Coturnix japonica: one gene and its partner. The protein of the gene in region 1 binds, or shares a complex with, the protein of each later gene. Links are inferred from orthologs where the notes say so. Each region holds a gene or a part of one and is shown in the gene's direction. Other genes may lie near its edges. The genes, in order: DRC1 and EFCAB2.

Region 1 (4,311 bases):
ATCTATTCAGGTGGAGGCCTCAAAGGTAACGGCGTGTCCCCCAAGGGTCTGTCTTGGGCCGGTGCTCTTCAACATCTTTATTAATGAACATCGATGAGGGAATGGAGTGCACCCTCAGCAAGTTTGCTGACGACACCAAGTCGAGTGGTGCGCGTCGATACGGTGGAGGGAACAGATGCTCAGCAGAGGACCTTGACAGGCTGGAAAGCTGGGCTCGGGTGAACCTATATGAGGTTCAACACGGCAAAGTGCAAGGTTTTGCACTTGGGCCGGAAGAACCCCAGGCACCTGTACAGGCTGGGAGGAGTGGTCCTTGAGAGCAGCTCAGCTGAGAAGGACCTGGGGGATGGATGGATGAGAGACTCAACATGAGCCAGCAGTGCGCTCTGGCAGCCCGGAAAGCAAAATGGGATCCTGGGCTCCATCAGGAGAGGGTGGTCAGCAGGGATAGGGAGGTGATCGTCCCTCTCTATCTTCTCTTGTGAGGCCCATTTGGAGTACTTGTCCAGGTGTGGAGCCTCAGTACAAAAAGACATGGAGATTTGGAAAGGGGCCAGAGGAGGGACAGGAAGATGATCAGGGGGCTGAGCACCTCCCCATGAGGACAGGCTGAGGAGTTGGGTTTGTTCAGCCTGGAGAAGAGAAGGTTGCGGGGTGACCTCATTGCAGCCTTTTCAGTACCTGAAGGGAACTTACTGCCAGGAGGGGAGTAAACTCTTGGAAAGGGCTGACAATAGCAGGACACGGGGAAATGGTTTTAAGTTAAAAGAGGGAAGATTTAGGTTGGATGTTAGGGGGAAGTTCTTCACTAGGAGAGTGGTTAGGCCTGGAACAGGCTGCCCAGGAGGTTGTGGATGCCCGTCCTTGGGTGTTCAAGGCCAGGTTGGACGGGCCATGGGCAACTGATCTTTGGGGTCTGATCTATGGGGATCTATGGGGTCTATGCGGTCTCTATGGGGATCTATGGGGTCTATGCGGTCTCTATGGGGATCTATGGGGTCTATGGGGTCTATGGGGGATCTATGGGGTCTATGCGGTCTCTATGGGGTCTATGGGGTCTATGGGGTCTCTGTGGGGTTCTATGGGGTCTATGGGGTCTCTATGGGGTCTATGGGGTCTATGGGGTCTCTATGGGGATCTATGGGGTCTCTATGGGGATGCGCAGCTACTGCGCATGCGCCGCATCCTTGTTGCTAGGCAAAACAGCAGCGCCGTGCCACTACGCGTGCGCAGTAGTTGCGTCGCCAGGCAACGCGTTTTCGCATATGAGCCGCGAAGGGGGTGAGCGATCGGCGGGGTCGAGGTGGAAGGAGCCGGTATCGGCCCCTGAAACGGACCCGAACCCGGACTCGGAACCGGATCCGACCGAACCTGGCCCCGAGGAGCGGATCGCCGCTCGCCGTCTCCGCATCGCCGCCCGCCTCGAGGCCCAACGGCGGTGAGAAGAGGGGGCGGCCATTGCGAGGCCTAATCTTATGCCTGATCCCTTCTGTCCCCTATCCAGGCCCTTGCTGCCTTTGCTGCCTTGTACCCACACCCCCATGGGCCAGGCCTGTCCCCCATCCCATCAGCACTGTATGAAGGCCAGGCCTGTCCCCCATCCCATCAGCACTGTATGAAGGCCAGGCCTGTCCCCCATCCCAATGGGAATGGCCAATGGTGCTGGAATCCACCATTCTTGGATGAGTTCCTCTTCTTTTCTGCACTTCTCGGGGCACATTGAGGCTGCTGAATCATTCTCTCTATGCTGGGATGGAGTCACAAGCTTTGCAAGGTTATCTCGCAACTTTAGGGAGATAGAAGTGCAAATGATTCTGTCTTTTTTCCCTTTGCTGCCCAGGCAAGAGCTTGGAGAAGATGAGGAACCAAAGGAGGAGGATGAGGATGTGGAAGAGGAGAGAAACAGCCACAAGGAGGTGGAGGAAATCCGGCAGGTATGACAGTAAGACAGGAAGGTCCTCTTGGATCCCTAAGCTGCAGGCATTTGGCTTCATGCAGTACTCAGTGTCACCCAGCAGCCTGTATGAGAAAGGACACAGTGGCAGAAGCTCTGTAGGACCAAGTGGGAGGAGACTCATGGGCTATAGATTGAAGACAAGATTTCCCTGTAGCAAAATGCCCATGGATTGGAGGGTTCTGAGATAGGAGCTGTGCATCCAGACTCATATCCCACTGTCCAAATATAGGGGAAGCAAAACAGAAATGTGCACTGAGCACGGGCCAGTTCCTCTTTGTGCTGCTGGCCTTCAGGGCTCTCCAAGTGAAGGAGGATTCATGGGTGCACTGAGGTCTTCCCAGTGCTCCTCAAACCCTGCTAGAACATGAGAAGATGGAGCTTATGGGTCTACATAGGTTTCACAGTGTGGGGATATGATCTGGAGCCTTGACAGCATGAGAGCAGCTCCAGTATCTCTCCCTCCAGAGTTGAAGTTTACAGGTATGTGTATCATCTCCTTCACAGAAGTTGGCCAAGCTGCTCTTTGAAGGCATACGGATGGTGACAGAAATCCAGGTGGCTACTGACTTGAGGGAAACACAGAGGAGAGCAGAACAGGCAGAGCTGAAGAAACAGAGGTAAGAGACTGTGGTGTGGGTTTGCTCTGCTGGAAAGGAGAGACGCAGATGTTTGTGCAGCTCTCTGAGCACATCCCGAGATGGCTGCATTACATGCAAAGCATCCTAACTCTGAGCATCCACATACACTTAAAAGTTAGGGTTGCACTGCAGTTAATTGCCAAAGGACACCAAGAGCTCCCAGGTCCAACCTGCCACAGGTGGATCTTTACAGAGTGTTTTTAGCAGTGAGTGTAGTTATTAGCTATAGCATGAGTAGGTGCAGGGCCACCCACACCAGGCAGTTGTGTATGAGGACTGAGAAAAATGTGAGGCTGTGCTGATGTGAGGAAGTGGATATAAATGTCTTCATGGTGAGGGTGGTTAGATGCTTGCTCGGGGGCCCATCGTGATGTAGGGATATTCCAACTCAGCACTTGCCTGAATGAGGCCCTGCACCATCTGCTCTGCCTGGTTAATCCTACATTAACCAGGACCCAGTGTTTTTCTGAGGCTCTTCCAGCCTCAGTTATTCTCCAGTCTCTCTATGGCTGCCTTGGGTAACCTGTCCTGCCCCACCAGAGGGATCTCTAAGGGTCTGGCTGTTTCAGCCTTGCCTGCACAGATCAGTTGAGGAACACCGAGTCCTTTCTCTTAATTGCCTTTGGAGGGCACTGTAGGAACAGTTTGTGGGAGGCTGGCTGGAGCAAGGCATCAGTTCCTTGCTCAGAATATTTTCTATTAAGCCTATCTATAAGGATCTGGATATTTTAAGCCCATAAACAGCCCATAAGGAAGGTTTCAGAGAGGCAGTGGTGGAATGTGTGTGGGAGAAACTCAGTCCAGCTGCATGTGACAAAGGGAAAGCACTCCCTTTGATTCTCCAGGGTTGGGCTGTGTAGCTGGGAGTTGTGTCACCTCCCACCTGCTGCCTCATCTTGATGCCACTTTTCAAGCTAAGTTATTCAGGAGAATGTTCCTGTGGCTTTGTATGTGGTGTAGGCCACTGAACCACTTGTTGCCCTGCGATGGTTTACCTTCTTCTACTGCCCACAGGGTGGAGAAGCTGGAGAATGTAGCCAAGTACAGTGCTGAAAAGTTTGAGGAGATCACCTCGAAGTGGGCCTTGGCCAAAGATATGACAATCCCTCAGGATCTGTGGCAGCTGCTGAACCAACAGCAGCAGCTGTGCACGCAGCTTCTGGATGAGAAGAACAAGCTCATTGGTGAACTGCAGCAGGTAGTGTGGGAGCCATGCGGAGGTAACCAGGGAGGACTGGAGTTTTCAAGCTTTGGAGGGTGCTGTTCTAAAGCAACAGCCATCCCCCTGGCCCACCGAGGCCCCAGCACATGGCTGGGATGCATGCAGTGTCAGTTGGTCCAGGACAAGAAGGGGATTGTTTTCCTAAAGGGAAGCAAGTCTTCTCCAGAGCAGGTTCCTTGGCCCTCAGCAGCAGGAGTGGCCTATTGCAGATGTTTCACCTTCCACTCTATCTTCTTACCAGCTATGACCGACCTTTGGTGGTGATGTCTCTCCTCCCACCTTTCCTCCTAAATACCTCATGACTTGCTGGCCTTTTGTCCTTGTCACCTTTGGAAAAGGCAGGATCTGGGTCCTACATTCTCTGTTATCCCCTAGTAAAACATTCTCTCTGATTTCAGCATCTGCTGTCCTCCTCCAGGAGCTGAAAAACAAAGATGAGCAATACGTGCAAACCATTAAGAAGCAGTCAGATGACATCCACCTGCTTTTGGAGA
Region 2 (3,814 bases), about 65 Mb from region 1:
AAGATTATTTCCTTAAGTCTATTGGTTTATCTCCATCCAGGGAGATGATCAGTGCCCAGAGCTGGGGCTGCCCTGCTATCCCCTGAGCTGCCTGTTCCTGGCTGGTTTGGTGGCACTGAGGAACCCCTGACCTTCACTGTACCATGCCATACTTGTTTGTTTGTTTGTTGTTTACATCTGCAGTCTTGTCTGCATAGATGTAAAGTTTCTATCTCTTCACTAAGTTCTGCGATGGATATAGAGCTTGAGAAGAACGTTACAACAATTAAATGATACAAATAGAACTGTCTTTTTAATGTTTTCATTCAGCCAGTAAGTTATAACATGTGAGAAAGGGCATTCAAAGTCTATGTAACACTGTAAATGAACTGTTTTACAACTAATTTTAATCAAAGAACAGTTACAATAGTGAAAAACAATTTATTGCCTTGTTTATTGTCCTGCGTTTGTGTTGCAGGGCTGTGTCACAGTAATATGACTATTAACGTCTGGTTATCTTATATCAGAAGGTGGCAGCACAGCACAATTCTTAGCCATGATTGTAGAAGCATGAGTGTTGTTTCCTGAAATAACAGATAAATGCGAAGGATACAGAAAGCTACACTGGCTTAATAGGATAACATGAGTGCTGGGTAACTTGTAATGCAAATACAAGAATTAGTAAGAAATTAAGCCTGAGGAAGATAGTGTTTCATAGAATCCCCTGCTTAGAATATATCCTATGTCAGTGATGTCCATGATTTTGCAAATGTTGTCACTGAGAATATCTTATCTAAGATGAAAACCGTGACACAGTTGTCATTGTGTCTGACTTACAAAATGTATACGAACAGGAGCTAATTTGAACTGTCATGTTTGTATGCTGGACACTACACAGCAGAAACTGAAGCTGCTGAACTAAATTATAGTCAGGAGGAAAATAGAATTATCCATCTGGCAGGAAGAATGCGGCAGGGCCACCTCACTTTTGTATTTGTTGTCTTCTGCAGTTAGAATTTGTATCTTTATTGCATTTAAAACAAACCTATATTTTTGTCACCTTTCACATCAATAGATTTCAAGGTGTTTTTTTTAACTATGTAAATGTAGACTTTATTGCAGTTAAGCCTAATAACTACAGGAAATCAATTGAAAATTAACTTGCACTCAGTAATGGACACGAGCAATAGGGAATTCTTGGGAAACCCACAGGTACAATTATACTCTTCAAAAAGCTTCAAGATATTTGATGTCTGTAAAAGTAGGCATTGCTTACTGAGTAATTACCTTAAAAGTCTATATAGATATACTTATGCAGGTGGGGTACTTTTACATTAGTATATGGGGTATATGTATACTTATACATAATAACATATCTGTATACATGCATGCTCCTATATGCGAGCTCTGAACTGATGGTTATGTTCTCTGCAGCCACTCTTGTATTGCAGAATCAGTGACACAGTTGTTTTACTTTCTTTCAGAGAGATTGGTGCACTTGTGAGATCTTTAGGTTGCTTCCCAACTGAGGCAGAGCTACGTAAACTGCTTGCAGAGGTAAAGGATTTACGTATTTTCTATTATCTTCTGTCTTGAACTTGTACAAGTTTGACCCTTCTGCCTTGCTATATGAGAAAGCTAAGTTCTTTTCCTGCAGGTGAAAAGACGTTGTGTCAGGGAAGTGAGCTAGGCAGTCTCTCAAGTTGCCATGAAACAAACCTTTATGCTGTTGAGGGAACAACACCGATGGCTTAAAATGGGGAGTCTGACTGTCATTTACCACAAAAGGCCACTGTGACACAGCCATGGTGGAGGACTGTCTGTAGAAAATGGAGGGATAAAATGTTTTTGACTGATGAAAAAGATTTCCCTAAACTGCAATTAGATTGGACACCCAAACCCTAGACATCTAGCTGCTCTGGACATGCCATAGACAAACACTGGATGACTAAATAACAAAACTTATCCTTGAACAGGTATTAAAATTATACATAAAAATCCAAAAATATGCAGAGAAAAGACATGGCAGTTTTTTTCCAATAGATTCTGTTACCACTACATCTTAGAGCCAGCCTGCTCAATTTTCTGTCCTTCCGAGGCCTATCCCAGTCTTGAGATTTCTCAGTTAAGTAATCTTTTCTTGCTTGGTTACTTAAGCCTGCAAGTCAGAATTCAAACATAAAGACTCCCAGGACTTAGATGTCCTCCCAGTGATGTGGAGAGGTAAGGAAGTTCTACTGTCTTTCTGTACAGTTTTTTCCCATGCTGTAATTTTTATCTCCTCAACACATACTTGTAATGGAAAGGCAGGAGTGATGGTGCCGTGGCAGGGTGGGATTATTGCATGGGGCAAAGAAGTGGGAAAAAGAATTCACATTGTTTTTGAAAAGTAGTATAACTTATAGGAATGGATGCTTCTAGAGCTGTGTCTATGATGGTTCTGGCAGGATGTGACTGTGAGACAACAGTTCAAGCATTCAGTGTCAACACAGACAGGAGCAAACTATCTCCATTAAGAGCTCTGTTTGGGGATAAAAGTTTCAACTTTTAGGGAAGAGATGCATCCAAGTTGTAGGGAGCAGTCTTTTATCATGTAGGAATGCTATGTGAATGCTACTAGAAGTCTGTGATGTTTGGGGACTAATCTGTTAATTTATTTGAGAGGCAGTAATATATGGACTGCCTTATGACTGTTTGAGACTGCCCTGACTTCGTCTGTCTGCTTCTCTGGACCTTCTCTTCATGAACCCTCACTGGCTACAAAACATGTGGTGGCAACAGATTCCATCCTTGAGAAGTACTAGGCCGGGGCTGTGTCCAAATTAGCAAATTAAACATGTCCTTGGATATTGAAGCCAGCTGTCACAGAGCAGCCTATGCATATGCTGGTTAATGTTTTATATTGGGTGGCTGTACAAAATGGCTGCTGGGGAGAAGTTTCTACAGTCCCAATGCCCAAACTGGACCTGGTAGCTGTTGGGTAAAAGGTTTGATGGCACAGGCCAAAACCACACTGGGGAATGTGCTGATAGTGTGTTGTGATGGATGATTATGTTGCACAACCTAGGGGTGCTTCAGGTCATACCCACCTCCACTAATATAACTGCAGTCTGCATTTTTCAACCTCTGCTGAGTTAGTGTCCAGTTCTTTTGCACAATTGGTTTCTAAGCACAAGAGGGCAATATTGAGTTGTTGTAAGTTTCTGAAGTAGCAGGCATGTGTTTTGTCTGGGAGATTATTTCTTCCTTTAATTTCTTTCTATTTGAACATAAGCATTTCAGGCATATGTTCTGGTGCCATGTAACATTAAAAAATTTCATATTGAAAACTTCACTTGAAGTCTAAATCTGTAATTTTATTGCAGGACTTACCTCAATTTTCTGATTCTTCTGTTAGTTTGCTAATGATTCATATAACTTACCATGCTTAAGTCTTATTTTTAGGTAGAAGAAGAAGAACCAACTGGATATATTAATCTAGGAAAATTTCTTCCAGTGATGACAAAAGTATTACTCAACAGAAGGTAATGTAAACTGGGTCTTTAATTTTTTGCATGGTTGATTCTGAATGATTGTATCTGCAGTAATTTTATGTAACTTGAAGGAACACAGATTTTTAAAAAATTTAAGGTAGGTAGGGAGATTTTAGTTCAAAATGATGTAGTCTACATAAAATTGCATTGTACTATTGGTACAAATAATATCAGCTTATAATAATGAATTGTGGTAATGTCTAGCTATTGTATTTTTAGTGTGAATCAGAATTATTTTGCTATTTCAACTCTGAAAATATTTTATGTACAAACAAGGTCCCAGCCATTACTTTATCTGAGTT

Evidence for each region.
Region 2: DRC1 (region 1) and EFCAB2 share a complex: the UniProt entries of both Homo sapiens proteins name them as parts of the nexin-dynein regulatory complex. The link is inferred for Coturnix japonica from reciprocal best matches to the Homo sapiens genes DRC1 and DRC8.

The regions. Positions count from the first base shown.
Region 1 is NC_029518.1:96,153,948-96,158,258, forward strand, and holds the start of DRC1 (dynein regulatory complex protein 1), read left to right. Parts: upstream 1-1,221; 5' UTR 1,222-1,265; coding exon 1,266-1,438; intron 1,439-1,840; coding exon 1,841-1,934; intron 1,935-2,461; coding exon 2,462-2,574; intron 2,575-3,609; coding exon 3,610-3,793; intron 3,794-4,235; coding exon 4,236-4,311. UniProt on the Homo sapiens protein: Component of the nexin-dynein regulatory complex (N-DRC) a key regulator of ciliary/flagellar motility which maintains the alignment and integrity of the distal axoneme and regulates microtubule sliding in motile axonemes.
Region 2 is NC_029518.1:31,162,139-31,165,952, reverse strand, and holds part of EFCAB2 (dynein regulatory complex protein 8), read left to right. Parts: intron 1-1,463; coding exon 1,464-1,536; intron 1,537-3,423; coding exon 3,424-3,503; intron 3,504-3,814. UniProt on the Homo sapiens protein: Component of the nexin-dynein regulatory complex (N-DRC), a key regulator of ciliary/flagellar motility which maintains the alignment and integrity of the distal axoneme and regulates microtubule sliding in motile axonemes.